2 linked regions of the Pelodiscus sinensis genome follow. The protein of the gene in region 2 interacts with the protein of the main gene of each other region in a pairwise test. Links are inferred from orthologs where the notes say so. Each region holds a gene or a part of one and is shown on either strand. Other genes may lie near its edges.

Evidence for each region.
Region 1: the proteins of PLEKHF2 (region 2) and PRKAR1A interact in binary tests that used the Homo sapiens proteins (3 or more experiments, as listed by UniProt). The two-hybrid records come from large-scale screens. The link is inferred for Pelodiscus sinensis from reciprocal best matches to the Homo sapiens genes PLEKHF2 and PRKAR1A.

What each region holds. Positions count from the first base shown.
Region 1 is NC_134730.1:23,380,762-23,388,367, forward strand, and holds the start of PRKAR1A (cAMP-dependent protein kinase type I-alpha regulatory subunit), read left to right. Parts: upstream 1-4,568; 5' UTR 4,569-4,713; intron 4,714-6,612; 5' UTR 6,613-6,686; intron 6,687-7,550; 5' UTR 7,551-7,552; coding exon 7,553-7,606. UniProt on the Homo sapiens protein: Regulatory subunit of the cAMP-dependent protein kinases involved in cAMP signaling in cells.
Region 2 is NC_134712.1:39,749,242-39,756,445, forward strand, and holds the start of PLEKHF2 (pleckstrin homology domain-containing family F member 2), read right to left. Parts: upstream 3,031-7,204; 5' UTR 2,884-3,030; intron 1-2,883. UniProt on the Homo sapiens protein: May play a role in early endosome fusion upstream of RAB5, hence regulating receptor trafficking and fluid-phase transport. Enhances cellular sensitivity to TNF-induced apoptosis.

The sequences.
Region 1 (7,606 bases), on a different chromosome or scaffold from region 2:
TCCTAGGAAGATCCCCCTGTCTCTGTAAGCCACGCTTAGGGCCGTCCTGAGGGGGATACGGGGCACCCCAACTCAGTGCAACCTCCCCGCCACAGGACCCGCCCCTGCTCCACCCCTTCCCTAAGCTCCGCCCCAGCTCCACTCCTTGCCCGTACTCCGATCAACACAGCCCAGGGAATTATGGGGCCTGGCATGGCAGCAGTAGGGTTCCCCTCCCCGCCCACTCATCACACAAGTGGCAGAAGCCAGAACAGCCCAGCAGCCTGCTCCGCTCCACCCCGCCATTTTCTTGGGCCCCCCATGCCTCGCTTTTTTGTGGCAGTGGGAACTGGAGTGCCTTGAGGCTGAGACGCTCGGCTTCCCACCCCCACTGAGAAACAGGGCACAGTGGGCCAGGAGAGAGTGGCAGGGCAGAGCGGAGCAGGCTGCCTGCTCTGGTTCTTGCTGCCGTTGTGAGTACGGGAGGTGAGGGAGACCCCTACTGTTGCTGTGCCAGACCCCTGCAATCCCTGGGTCCCTCCCATCCATAGAACACCAGGGCCAGCCATTGTGGGTCTCCCAAAAGTGTGGGGCCCGGAATGGCCACCCCTAACCATCCCATGAATGGGACAACTCTGGTCATGCTAAAACTGAGCTAGAGACAGCCCCCTCCATGGAGCAGGAGCAGAAGCCATGTCTATACTTACTATGCTGGGGATTGATCTGCTGGCATTTGATTTAGTGGGTCTAGTGAGGACCCACTAAATCGAATGCTGAGGGCAACCCCAGTGGGTGCCACAGTGTCTCGATTCATGAGGAGTAAGAGAAATTGACGGGAGCATTTGCTCCCATTGATCTCCTGCTGTGAAGATGGCACCAAGCTTGGCTTAACATATGTCCACTCCAGCTACGTTATTTAAGACGATCTTCCCGGTCTAGAATAGATCTGGCCAGAACTGAGAACTGCACTAGCAAAACCATACTGGAGGGCCTAGCTTCACCAGAGACAGAACCATGCTACATTTAACCATGCTGCTCTGACAAGGCTTCCGCTAGAATGGTTCAGCAACATCCATGCGACACCATGTTCCCCACACCCTCATGTCAGTGGAGTTGGCCTCTCCATACCTACCATACCGCACAACCATGCTTGCATCTGTATGTTCTGGGGGAAACTGGGGTCGCTTTCCCATTCGGCCTCAGCTGTTACTTAGGGAGCAGTCCTAACAGTGATCCCAAGTCATTTCATTCATAGCTCTATTTCATTGTTAGCGGGTTATACGCTGACAGAAAGAGTTATTTTATTTTACTAACACACAGAACAATGAATTTTAGGAAGACTTCCCACACACAGACCTAAGCAAGAACCCATTTATAGCCAAACATTCATGGTACAGCCAAGCTCACAGTCACGTTGCTAGGAACCGTTTATGGTATATGTTGTGAGCACAAGTCAAGTGCAGCTATAGTACTGCTAGGGATGCTAAAACGCATGTAATTAAGTAACTCTGTAATTGCTGAACATTTCAGTAGTTACATGATTACATGTGAGGTGGCTGGCGGCTACCTGGGAGCTGGTGCATGACAGGAGCTGGCTTTTAAGCTGGCTCCATGCATGCACCGGGAGTCTGTGTGTAACTGTGACCGTTAACTGATAAGCACAGGCGCATCGGTTCACCGTTTACATGGTTACACTTTCACATCCCGAAATACAACCTGGTTACCAACCCGGTAAATATGTGAGTGTAGTCTCCCAAGTGGGAGAGTTCTTAGTAAATAGCATGGGTTTATAACAGGATTCTCTACACTTGTTGACACTGCAAAGCAGGGCATCTGATTTCAAGATTTCATGATGTACAGTGTGTCCAACGACACATCTAAGACCTTAGCATGGTTGTGGAGAACACTTAACATTGCATCCCTGCTACAAATGGAATTGTGTTGTACCTGTGTCCCCTGACTCAGTGTAGATGAAGCTTTAAAACTCTGCTACAGCAATGGTGTTGAAACATGACTGTCACTAGGGCTTTGTCTCCCAGCGCCCCATGTAAACCACCTCCATCGGGGGAGTAGCTAACTCATCTGGGAGCCTGGTTCACATTGGTGCTTTACTGCGCTGTCACTTGCTGCGCTCAGGAGGATGGGTTTTTTCACACTCCTGAGCCAGAAAGTTACAGTGCAGTCAAGTGCCATGGTAGCCTAGGACAGTTTGATTGCAGTGTGAGTAGACCCAACAGTTTTTTTTCTTTCACCTGATTTGAGAAAGTCTCAAGACACCTCAACACATGAATATATATTGGCAGGCATTTGGGAGGCATAAGGAAATGTACTCATCACAGAGAAGGCTCTACATACGGACTTGTATTCAAGGTGCACCTGCATCAAAAGCACTTAACAGAACTGAGCTCCGATTAGCATCGCAAGGTTGCCTACAAATCCCAGAGTATTCTGCTCCACGTTTTAATACTTTGATCTGTGACTGCCGTATTGTAAAGTGGTTTTGCACTATTCCTGTAGAGTGCCGTCCTCTTTTTCCTTGATGAGAACATGCTGCGAGACTGCGAGACAAGTTTTACTTACGGGTTTGATCTTTGCTCAAGGCATGGCAGAATATGGGCTCTATCCCAAAACTGGGATACAAGTTATATTAATTCAAAGAGAAAGCCCCACCAATGCTAAGCATTGCTATTTTCCAGTCACAAATTGGAAATAATAGAATGAGTTGTCCTGTGGCACCTTAGAGACCAACAAAAATATATGTAGTATCATGAGCTTCTGTGGGCAAAACCCACTTCTTCAGAGGAGTTGGAAGAAGGAGTGGAAAAGGCACGAACCCAGAATTTATAACACAAAAATAAGGGAAGAAAAAAAAAAGTACCTGTCAATTGTAGTACTGATGCTAATGCGGTTAATTGAGTGGGCTGGAAGTTTCCTATACTGTACTTAACTTTTGGTGTAATGAGGTGTTAAATGCATGGAAAGCTGCCTTTATGTTGCATTATAAAGCCAGTCTTCCATGCATTTAACACCTCGCTTAAATGGTTCCTTCCCCCTTCCCCCAACACTGGCTCAAGAGCCGCCTGCTCCGCCCCCCAACACACCCGTCACTGCTGTCTCAGATACAGCACCCATTCCCAGCACTAGTTCCCTGTGTAAATGTGTATTTCCAGTGGATACACGTCTACACAAATAAACACATTTTAACATCCCTATCCCAGAGCCCAGTCACGATCCTAATTCTCATGGCCTGATTTGGTACCCAGCGCCCAATCCAACCCTAGTTCCCACGGGGTATCTCTGTGCCCAGCGCCCATTCCCAGGCCTAGTTCCCACGGGGTATCTCTGTGCCCAGCGCCCATTCCCAGGCCTAGTTCCCACAGGGTATCTCTGTGCCCAGTGCCCATTCTCAGGCCTAGTTCCCACGGGGTATGTCTGTGCCCAGCGCCCATTCCCAGGCCTAGTTCCCACGGGGTATCTCTGTGCCCAGCGCCCATTCCCAGCCCTAGTTCCCACGGGGTATGTCTGTGCCCAGCGCCCATTCCCAGCCCTAGTTCCCACAGGGTATCTCTGTGCCCAGCGCCCATTCCCAGCCCTAGTTCCCACGGGGTATGTCTGTGCCCAGCGCCCATTCCCAGCCCTAGTTCCCACGGGGTATCTCTGTGCCCAGCGCCCATTCCCAGCCCTAGTTCCCACAGGGTATCTCTGTGCCCAGCGCCCATTCCCAGCCCTAGTTCCCACGGGGTATCTCTGTGCCCAGCGCCCATTCCCAGCCCTAGTTCCCACAGGGTATCTCTGTGCCCAGCGCCCATTCCCAGCCCTAGTTCCCACAGGGTATCTCTGTGCCCAGCGCCCATTCCCAGCCCTAGTTCCCACGGGGTATCTCTGTGCCCAGCACCCATTCCCAGGCCTAGTTCCCACGGGGTATCTCTGTGCCCAGCACCCATTCCCAGGCCTAGTTCCCACGGGGTATGTCTGTGCCCAGCGCCCAATCCAGCCCTAGTTCCCACGGGGTATCTCTGTGCCCAGCGCCCAATCCAGCCCTAGTTCCCACGGGGTATCTCTGTGCCCAGCTCCCATTCCCAGCCCTAGTTCCCACGGGGTATCTCTGTGCCCAGCGCCCATTTCCGACCTGCCTCTCATATCCCATGCCCGCTGCTGAGCCCTCAAAACCCATCATTAGCCCGGCCCCTGGCTGGTCCCCAGGGCCATGCCTGGAACTTGGGGCCTGGGTGCAGCCTGGCCCCTGGCGTGGAGCCCTCGTGTCCCCGCAGCTCCGCCTGCCATGTGCCCGTCCCATGGACTGGCAGCAGTGCCTAGGGGTGTCGGGCACTCCTTAAAGGAGCCAAGGAAACTGGGCAAGGCAGACCCTTGAGGCAAGGCCAGGGTGGGGTTGGCCCCTTTAAGAGGGCGGGGCATCGCAAGGCCTTGTAAGGGGAGGGGCTGGTTGCGGAGCTTCGTCAAAGCTGGAGGAAGGCGCCGTGGTCCCTTTAAGAGGGAGGCGCGAAACGTGTCGGCGGCTCCTTTAAGACGCGGCGCGAGCGCGGCGTCCCCTTTAAGGTTGCCCCGGCGACGGCTCGCAGTGAGAGCGAGGCGCATTGACGTCAGGTTGGCAGGCGATTGGCTGAGGTCGCTGGTTTCCGGTGGGAGCGGGAGCCGCCGCCGCCGAGATCGCCGAGGCCGGGTCGGGGGGAGGGGGGCGAGCCAGGCCGAGGAGGGAGCCGCCCGGACCCCGCGGTGAGTGGGAGCCTGCGGGTCCCGCCTGGCCGCGGGGGGCTGCCGGGCGGCGGCTCCGGGGAGAGGCCGCCGGCCCCGGGGGAGCGCGGCGGGAGGCCTGAGGCGCTGGCCGGGGGCAGGCGGCGGGACGCGGGTGGGGGGAGGGGGCGTGGAAGACCCGGGGGGGGCAGGCAGGGCACTGGTGGGGGGTGGGGCAGGCCCGGGGGGGAAGGGCGGGGCGATCTAGGGGTGGGGGAGGAGGGGGGAGCAGTGGTGGTTGGGGGGGAGGGGGGTACGGGGATAGGCGGTGGGGGGGGCAGGTGGGGGGGCAGGCGGTGAGGAGGGGGCAGGTGGGGGGGTAGGCGGTGAGGAGGGGGCAGGTGGGGGGGTGGGCAGGTGGGGGGGTAGGCGGTGAGGGGGGGCAGGTGGGGGGCTGGGGAGCAGTATAGTGAGGTACGGTGTTATGTCGCTTACTGGCGGGGGTTGTGTGTGTTGCATGGGGTTGGGCTGGGGGTGTTTTCTCCCCCCCCTCCCCCCGTGCACACGTGCAGAAAGAGGAAGGTTTAACTTTACTGACGCAGGCGTTAGCTCTCTCCACACGCACCCCGCAATGTGAACCCCGCCTTATTCGATCCCTGGGAGAGGATGCTGCCTCCTGCAGGGAATCGGGCTGGGCAGGCTTACCTCAAAAACCTCCCTCCCCCCCCACCTGCATGGCAGGGTCCCCAAGTTGGGGTAACTTGACAGGAGGTTTCTTGATGTGTTGCACCAAACCCAGCCAACAAACTACAGAGCTGCCAAGTTTTGCTCATCCCCAAGTGGGAAGCATTGCAGGAAAATGTTTAGGTTTTTCAGTTTTTACATTGGTGGTGTCAATAAAACAGTAAAAATCCTTCCCCTTAAAAAGAATTTTTGCAAAGGTTTTCAGTGAGATACTTTGAATCTTACTGAAGTGTTTTTCAGACTGTGCTACTTATTAATTCCAAAGCTAATCTTGGAATGAGAGAATCTCCCTTACAAATGGATGCGGTTCACATTTCAGACACTGTTGGGGCGATGGACTTCTCCTCACTCCCAATGTGAGGAGCTTTTTGTAGTTTGACTATATGCTGATTGTTCTTCACAACACTGCACCACTAATGTGAAGGCTTAACATTTGGCACTGGCGCTTTAACTAATACAAATGGGAATAAGGTCCAAAATTTGGATCAGAATTTGTAACTCCTTGAAGTATGAAGTGGTTTAGGTTCTTGTACTAAAGTCATTGCAATTTTATATGGTGGCTTTTTTAATAATAAAGATATAGTTACAATATGTAGAAAGATTAAGGGGAAAATTTACAACTTGTTTGCTTGATATGCATTCTGGCACTGTTTTTTCACAGTAGTATCTTTGAGCCATTAGCGACTCATGTTTGCTGTCTATCAGCATCATGATGCTTTTTCCATAGACTCTAATTTGTGGGCTGTCATGGAGCCACAAATTTACTCTGGGACATTTAATTAGGCTTCTTATTGACCTTCAGCATGCAACTTGTCAAAACAAAAGGGGTAACTAGAACTTTTCGTGATAGAAATGTAGCCGTGTTAGTCTGAACTTTTCGGTAATCTTTCTCTTAGTACAAACCACATATGCATATGTGTTGCATAAACATGACCGTGGGTCTGCTTCTATACACTTTTGTGGCGATCAGTAATAAGAATGCAGCTTGTTTTGAATTATCTGTTCTGCCTCTAATCTGCCTATAATTCAAAGGAGCATAATTAATGTTATATTGACTATATTGCTGTGTGTTTTGTTAATTTTGTGCCCAAATAGAAAAGCATATGTAGTACGACTGTACCACTTGTACTTTACAGTGATTCTTCAACTATTAAGCATGCAACTTATTTTCTGTCTATTTTATTTTCCTCCCCAAAGCCGATATTGGGATCAACACGCTTCACTGTAAATTCTCTACATATCCACAGTTGTCCCTTCTATCTGCATCCCAGGTAACTGTCTTTACAGGGTTTATTTATATAACCTTAGAAAATACTCTTCTAAACATATTTTCATTTTTCTCTGTTAATCTCTCTTCAGAGCAACTTGCATAAGAAAAAACTGGTTAAAATAAAATATAATGGCAGTTTTTACACACTGAAAGCTCTTCTACTAAATTCTGATAAGATCTGGCATTTTATTTAATGTTTTGAAATCTAATATATGAGTTTTAATTACTGTGAGCGTACTTCAGAATTACAGAATATTAATCTAAATGTCACCCCTTTTTAGTTAACTTGTAGTAAAAGAGCATCTCCATTGGGCAAACATCTGTATTTCTATGGCTCCTACTAGCTGTTAATGGCTACAACTACCAGGGAGCTGACTTTTTTTGCTGTTACCTTACCAAATTTCACTATACTTTGTACCTCTGTTCCTTGTTTCCTCCGTGGTATGAGAGGGACTTCACTGAAGCAGGAAATCTGGGATATAATCAACAGCCTATGCCCATATGACTCCATGCCTTTCAGAATGCTCAAGGGGCCAGGGTTGCTGAGTTTCATTCACCTGGGGAGGGCGGGGGAAAAAAAGCCCTCTGCTTGTCTTGGGCCTGTGGGAATTTCTGTAGAGCAACCCAAGGTTCTCACTTCCTCCCAGATGCCAAGTACATCACGTCTCTGCACTGCTGGGCCAGAGCACAGGCTTGGGAATTGAACTTTGAATTTTAATTACTAGCCCTGCTGATAAGTTAGCTTTTTTTTTTTAAGTGAGATCACTGCAACAAAAGTTAATACAGCATGTCTAGGGAGCATGTCAGCTGGATCTGCTTAATTCTCAATGTAGTTCAGATGATTCTTATTTTTTTTCTTAAACAGCAATGGCAGCCTCTAGCAGCACCACCAATGAGGAGGAGCGTAGCCTCAGAGAATGT
Region 2 (7,204 bases):
AGAGAAACTCAGAAAAACAGCAACAACATTTTTGATTAATTAAGGTTTCACTCATATGAAGACCCTAGTGTTTGGGTTCCCCAGATTTCATATTCACCTAATTGTAGGACTGTGAAAGTATTTGCTTTTTGGCACAAAAGAAGTGGCCCCAAAACTAGGGATTATCAGTTAATCTAGTCTACTACTTGCATTCCCCCCCCCCCCCATTGCCTCGGTATAAGAGACAGCAAGGGGGGGAGAAGCAGGGAGCTGGTGCCCCCCAGTAGCAAGTCTGCAGTGCCGCCTGCCCCCCTCCCCCGCACCACCATGCTGCTGCCTCTCATAGAGGCAGCAACATGGGGGAGAGAGGAGGCTGCCACAAAGCAGTCTCTGCCCATGGCGGACTCTGGCTCGCTGCTGCCAGAGGCTGTTCTGTAGGATGCAAAGCAACCTCTGTAGTAAGCCTGCTCTGCGAGATGCTGTTTCGGGGCAACAGCTCCTGTCCACAGGGGGTCAGAGCTCCCTGTGGACAGAGGCTAGAGTGTTTGGGGGGGCACCAGGGGAGGCTGCTGCAGAGCAGCCTGTGCCCTTGGCAGGCCCTGACTCACCATGGCAGGCCGTGACTGCTTCACGGGATGCAGAGCAACGTCTGTCCATGGGAAGCCTGTTCTGTGGGATGCTGCTTCACTGCAGCAGCTCCTATGCATGGTGAGCTCGGGCCTGCCATCAACAGAGGCTGGTCCCTGGCAGTAGCCCCAGTTCACAGAGGTCTGATCTCCCTAAAGACAGAGGCTGGAGTAGCCTCTGTCCGTGCAGAGCTCGGACCCATCACGGACAGGGGCTGCTATCACCCCATGCTGCTGCCTCTATATCAGAGGCAGCAGCACAGGGCAGCAAGCAGCTGGTCTACAAGGGGAGCTGGTTTTTAACTGTCTCCCCTCGTGGACCATTTCCCACCTAGCACTATGTACTGCTGCCTCTGATACATTGGACCATAGAATAGTCAACTAACCACTAAGAATTCGTGCAGTTAGTCAACTATTGTATTACCCAATATCTAACATCTCTACCCAAAACATTAATCTATGAAAAATCAGAATTATTAGATTAACTGATAAAGTATCCAAGGGGAAGGAAGATCCCAGTAAAGATTCTGAATTCCATTTGAATTCAAGTTTGGTATTTCCATTACTTCCAGAGATCTTTGGGACATTTTTACTTCAGCCCCAAGGCAGGACCTGACAGCCAGTGAAGTCCGCTGCAACTCCTAGCCACAACAGGTTGCAGGGGCTCCCTTTAAAAATCCAGCCAAGATGACAGGTAGGGGGGGACCTGCTGTGGTCCCTATCCAGGATGCCCCACAACTGAAAGCCACCATCAGGAGTAGTGGAAGGACCCTTACAGCTCCAAGCCTCTTCCATATGTGGGGTACCCCACATCTCTAAGCTGTTGCCAGCTGCCAGAGGACCCCACACTTGCAGTCACCATGGGAGGGAATCGTGGAGCCCCAGCAACCACAGATATTGGCATAGGTAGCAGTTATTGAAGGCAGCAGAAGGCTGAGCTACACCAAAAAGCCTTGTATGGCCTTTGGCCCCTCTCATGCTCTGCCCCCAGGTCCCTTCCTGCTTCCCAGAACTGTGCTGTGTGGGGGAGGTACCAGGATAGGGCTGAGGTTAATGAGGGCTGCCTGGTGCTGGGGGGCTATGCAACACTCACATAATACTCAAGGGCTGGGAGGGCACACCACCCATATGTGCTGGGAGGGTGATAACCACTTTGCACTCCAGGGTTGAGGGAAGAAGGTCTCTGGTAAGGATGCTAAAATGCGATTAATTGACTAGTCAGTTGACTCTGGGTTCCATGTGGCACTTCCCTGGACTCCCCAGCTGATCCCAGGTCCTGGGGAAATGCCATAGGGAGCCCAGGGTCAGCTGGGGAGGTCCCAGCTGACCCCGGGATCAATGGCAGCTGCCCCTTTGAATCGTGCGGAGGCAGTATTTTAAAGGGCCAGCCCGCTGCACAGCTGATCTTGGGATCAGCTATGCGGCCTGTTGGCTCTTTAAAACACTGCCTCTGCATGATTCAAAGGGGCAGGAGGGAAGCCCAGGGTCAGCTGGGAACTCCCCAGATGACCCCAGGCTCCCTGTGGCATTTCCCCAGGACTCAGGATCAGCTGGGGAGTCCAGGGAAGTGTCACATGGAACCCACAGTCAACTGGGGACTCTCCAGCTGATCCCAGGTTCTGGGGAAATGCCACAGGGATCCCAGGATCAGCTGGGAATCCCCAGCTGACCCCGGACTCCAGGGCTGCCCCTTTGATTCCCCGCAGAGGTGGTGTTTTAAAAGGGGCAGCCTGCCACACAGGTGATCCCAGGATCAGCTGTGCAGCTGCCACCTTCAGGTTTCAGAGCAGCAGTGCCACTTTAAAGTACCCCTTTTCCCCCCACCCAGTGCTGCCTCTATTTCATATAGGCGGCAAGGGGGGAATTGTCTAGTTGACATTACTATCTGATAAGCAAATTCTTATTGGATAGTCAACTAGTCTTTAACATCCTTCATCTGTGGGCCACACTACCCACATGCCAGGCACTCTGGGACTGCTGGAGGAAAGTCATATTGCATACTCAAGAGTGCTGTGGGGGGAGAAAGAAGGGTTCCACATAGGAGTGAGGTGTCTGGACTTCAGTGGAAGGAAAAATGCCTCAGGCAGAAGTGACAGGCCAAGGGCTAACCATCCTGAGACCAGGGTTCACCTACAACCTGTGTGTTCTAGACCCTCCTCCTTTCCCATTTTGTCAGTTATTTTTATTAAAAGTCAGGGACTTATGTGAATTTTTAGTTGTTGCCCATGACCTGCCTGTGACTTTTACTAAAAATAATAATAACAAAATCTTAGCTTACCTCTTGCACAGCTGTGCACACAGTGGTCCTTTGTCCGATGGTCAGGATGTACAAGTGCCACAACTTGCTGTTGCAGTTAATAGATTTAAGCTTTCTCTGCCAAGTGTTTTTGCAAGTGCTCTGGAGACACAGGATTCTTTCTGTCCATCATCTCAAACCTACCCAGCTGTAGGGATGTAAAATCCCATTTAATCATTTAACTGGGAAACCACATGAAGGGGGTGGGGCAGAGGGTAGGCTGGAGCACCTTCCTTCCCTGCTGCAGGTGGGGGCTATTCCAGCCAGGATGGAGCCCCCCTGTGTGAGGAGCACCAGCCCAGGCTTGCTATATACAGGGGCTGCTCTACCTGGGCTAGAGCACCCCCTTCCCACATTGGACCTTGCTGGGATAGAGCAGCTCCCTGCCTGTAGCAGGTGGGGAGCTGTTCCAGGCCCCATCAGTTAATTGCAACTGGCAAGCCTTGCTGGGTGATGCTTACCAGTTAACCATTCACATTCCTACTCAACATCTTGCCCAGCCACCTAATCCAGGTGCTACCAGGTGAGTTTGGTGAAGATTGCCAAGCAACATGCAGAGTTTAAAAGAAAATGCACTTCATTCCTTGCTGACACCTGCTTTTGTAAGAGGAAAAAAGAGTCATAGAATTTTTTTTATTCAAAAGGATGTTTCTCCACCTGTCTAGATCATGACAGGATTGCTTTTGTATTCTTAACCCACTGCTAATAGTATTAAATAGGTCCACTAATGGAAAATTTTCTCCTTTAGAAGTTCAGTTACTTTATAGCTATGTTTTCCCACTTATTTAACCATTTTTCCTACTGCATTTTCAGACCTTTGTTCCGTGATATTGTCCTTGTTGTGACAAGAGAATACTGATAGTATTCTCTTTATAAGTTTGTGAAAAGGTCAGTCCCATTCCTGGGCCCCTGTTCAACTCAGTCTCACCAATTATTTAGGTACTGTGGCACAGGCCACTCTTGCCCTTGCTGGGGTTTAGATTTCTGTCCCTCAGCTAGAAGGGCTTTGGGGCAGGTGCCCCTTGATCTCCCTAGGCTGGGTAAGCAGACCTCCCCAGCCATTGGCTGAAATGCTCAAGCTACTTGGGGAAGGGAGCCCAAACAGTTCCCGTCAGAGCTCCTGACCTTCCTTGCTATCTCCAGCAACACTGACTTCTCTTTATTAGCATCTCCAAGTCTCTCCTTATCTGCTATCATTTCTCTCACTTTTCCTGGGAGTAGAGAGGAGGGGAAGCTTTTAAAAAGACCCTGTTGCAGCCTGAAGTCAGAGCAGCTGGCCCTAATTGGTTTATAGTAGCCTCATCTCAGCTGCTCCCATTCCACCCATGATAATTCCAGGACCATTTCTGCCTTTTAAAGCTGCCTCTCTCTCCTTTGAATCAAGCCCTCTGGCCTGACCTTGTCACAAGTTATATAATTAATTGCTATTCCATTTTCATTTCTCCCAATTATATTTAGTGTATTTTTTAACTTCCTGTAAAATATGGGCATTATTTTTCCATTATTGTTATTTTTAGTGTTCCTGTCTGACTTGTCTCTAATTTGGCCATATTTTTTTAAACCATAGCACTCCTGTTACTTGGGCTATAATTCTACTCTGAAAAGTATGTGAAGATTTCCTTTTTTTTTTTTTGCTAAGATGCTCTTTTGATAGGATGTTCAAAACTGTCCTCACATGGTTTATTAGTGGTTTACAATTGTGTGTCAACAACTCTTATCAAGCCTGACATATACAATGTACTCCAACTCGTTGTCATAATCTCTATCTAAAAGATGACACATAAAGTATATGCAAGATAGTGATACACTAGTCTTGAAAATCATTGTGTGGTATAGGCCAAGCCCGTTCCCCACTATCCATCTGCCTCCCCTGCCCTCTGCAGAGATGATGTATCAGCTCCAGCTCCCTCCCCTGCCTTGCTGCTTCTGTTAAGGGCAGCAAGGCCGGGAGGAGGGGAGGGGGGGGACTGCTAATGCCTGTGATGCACATGTTATTTCTGTATTCCATTTCTGGAAAGTAGTGAACAGAAAGGATGAAACAACTCTATCAGGTGACTTAATTACTATAGTTTCTTTGACACCAAGATAATCAAAAGCCATAAGGCACATACAGCATGCATTCAGAAGCATCCTTATGTCTGTTTACTCCTGAGTATTATATAAGTCTTGAGCTTATTCAACCTCTACCAGTTATGGACTTTATCATAGAATCAGAGGATAATAGGACTGGAAGGGACCTCGAGAGGTCATTGAGTCCAGTCCCCTGCCCTCATGGCAGGACCAAATACTGTCTAGACCATCCCTGATAGACATTTATCTAACCTACTCTTAAATATCTCCAGAAATGGAGATTTCACAACCTCCCTGGGCAATTTATTCCAGTGTTTGACTACCCTGACAGTTAGGAACTTTTTCCTAATGTCCAACCTAAACCTCCTGTGCTGCAGTTTAAGCCCATTGCTTCTTGTTCTATCCTCAGATGCCAAGATGAACACGTTTTTTCCCTCCTCCATATGACACCCTTTTAGATACCTGAAAACTGCTATCATGTCCCCCCTCAATCTTCTCTTTTCTAAACTAAACAAACACAGTTTTTTCAGCCTTCCTTCATAGGTCATGTTCTTTATACCTTTAATCATTCTTGTTGCTCTTCTCTGGACCCTCTCCAATTTTTCCATATCTTTCTTGAAATGCGGTGCCCAGAACTAGATGCAATACTCCAACTGAGGCCTAACTAGCGCAGAGTAGAATGGAAGAATGACTTTTCATGTCTTGCTCACAACACACCTGTTAATGCATCCGAGAATCATGTTTGCTTTTTTGAAAATAATCAGCATAACGGCATTGCGCAAGAGGGTTTTTCTTGCGCAAGAAGGGGAAGTGTAGACGCTCCTTCTTGTGCAAGAGCCTCTTCTGCAAAAATGGCAGCTCATTAGATATGCAAATGAGGCTCGGCGATATTCCACGCTTAGCCTCATTTGCATATATCTGGCACAAGATCACGCCAGTGTAGACATAGCCTATGTGTGAAACTGATTGTTCCTTCCTAAGTGGAGCACTTTGCATTTGTCCTTATTAAACTTCATCCTGTTTACCTCAGACCATTTCTCCTATTTGTCCAGATCATTTTGAATTATGACCCTATCCTCTAGATTAGTCACAACCCCTCCCAGCTTGGTATCATCTGCAAACTTAATAAGCGTACTTTCTATGCCAATATCTAAATTGTTGATGAAGATATTGAACAGAGCCGGTCCCAAAACAGACCCCTGCGGAAACCCACTTGTTATACCTTTCCAGCAGGATTGTGAACCATTAATAACTACTATCTGAGTACGGTTATCCAGACAATTATGCACCCACCGTAGCCCCATCTAAGTTGTATTTGCCTAGTTTATTGATAAGAATACCATGTGAGACTGTATCAAATGCCTTACAAAGTCTGTATCAAAGCCTAGGTATACCACACCCACCTCCTCTCCCTTATCCACACAGGACTCGTTATCCTATCAAAGAAAGCTATCCAATTGGTTTGACATGATTTGTTCTTTACAAATCCATGCTGGCTAGTCCCTATCATCTTGTCACCTTCCAAGTGTTTACAGATGATTTCCTTAATTACTTGCTCCATTATCTTCCCTGGCACAGAAGTTACACTAACTGGTCTGTAGTTTCCTGGGTTGTTCTTATTTCCCTTTTTATAAATGGGCACTATATTTGCCCTTTTCCAGTCTTCTGGAATCTCTCCTGTCTCCTATGATTTTCCAAAGATGATAGCTAGAGGCTCAGATACCTCCTCTATCAGCTCCTTGAGTATTCTAGGATGCATTTCATCAGGCCCCGGTGACTTGCAGACATCTAACTTTTCTAGGTGATTTTTAACTTTTTTTTTTAATTTTATCTTCTAAACCTACCCCCTTCCCACTAGCATTCACTATATTAGGCATTCCTTCAGACTTCTCAGTGAAGACCGAAAGAAAAAACTCATTATGCATCTCTGTCATTTCCAAGTTTCCTGTTTCTGTTTTTCTCTCCTCACTGACCAGTGGGCCTACCCTGTCATTGGTCTTCTTCTTGCTTCTAATATATTTATAAAAGGTCTTCTTGTTTCCCTTTATTGCCGTAGCTAGTTTGAGCTAATTTTGTGCCTTTGCCTTTCTAATCTTGCCCCTGCATTCCTGTGTTGTTTGCCTATATTCATCCTTTGTAATTTGTCCTACTTTCCATTTTTATATGACTCCTTTTTTATTTTTAGATCATGCAAGATCTCGTGGTTAAGCCAAGGCAGTCTTTTGCCATATTT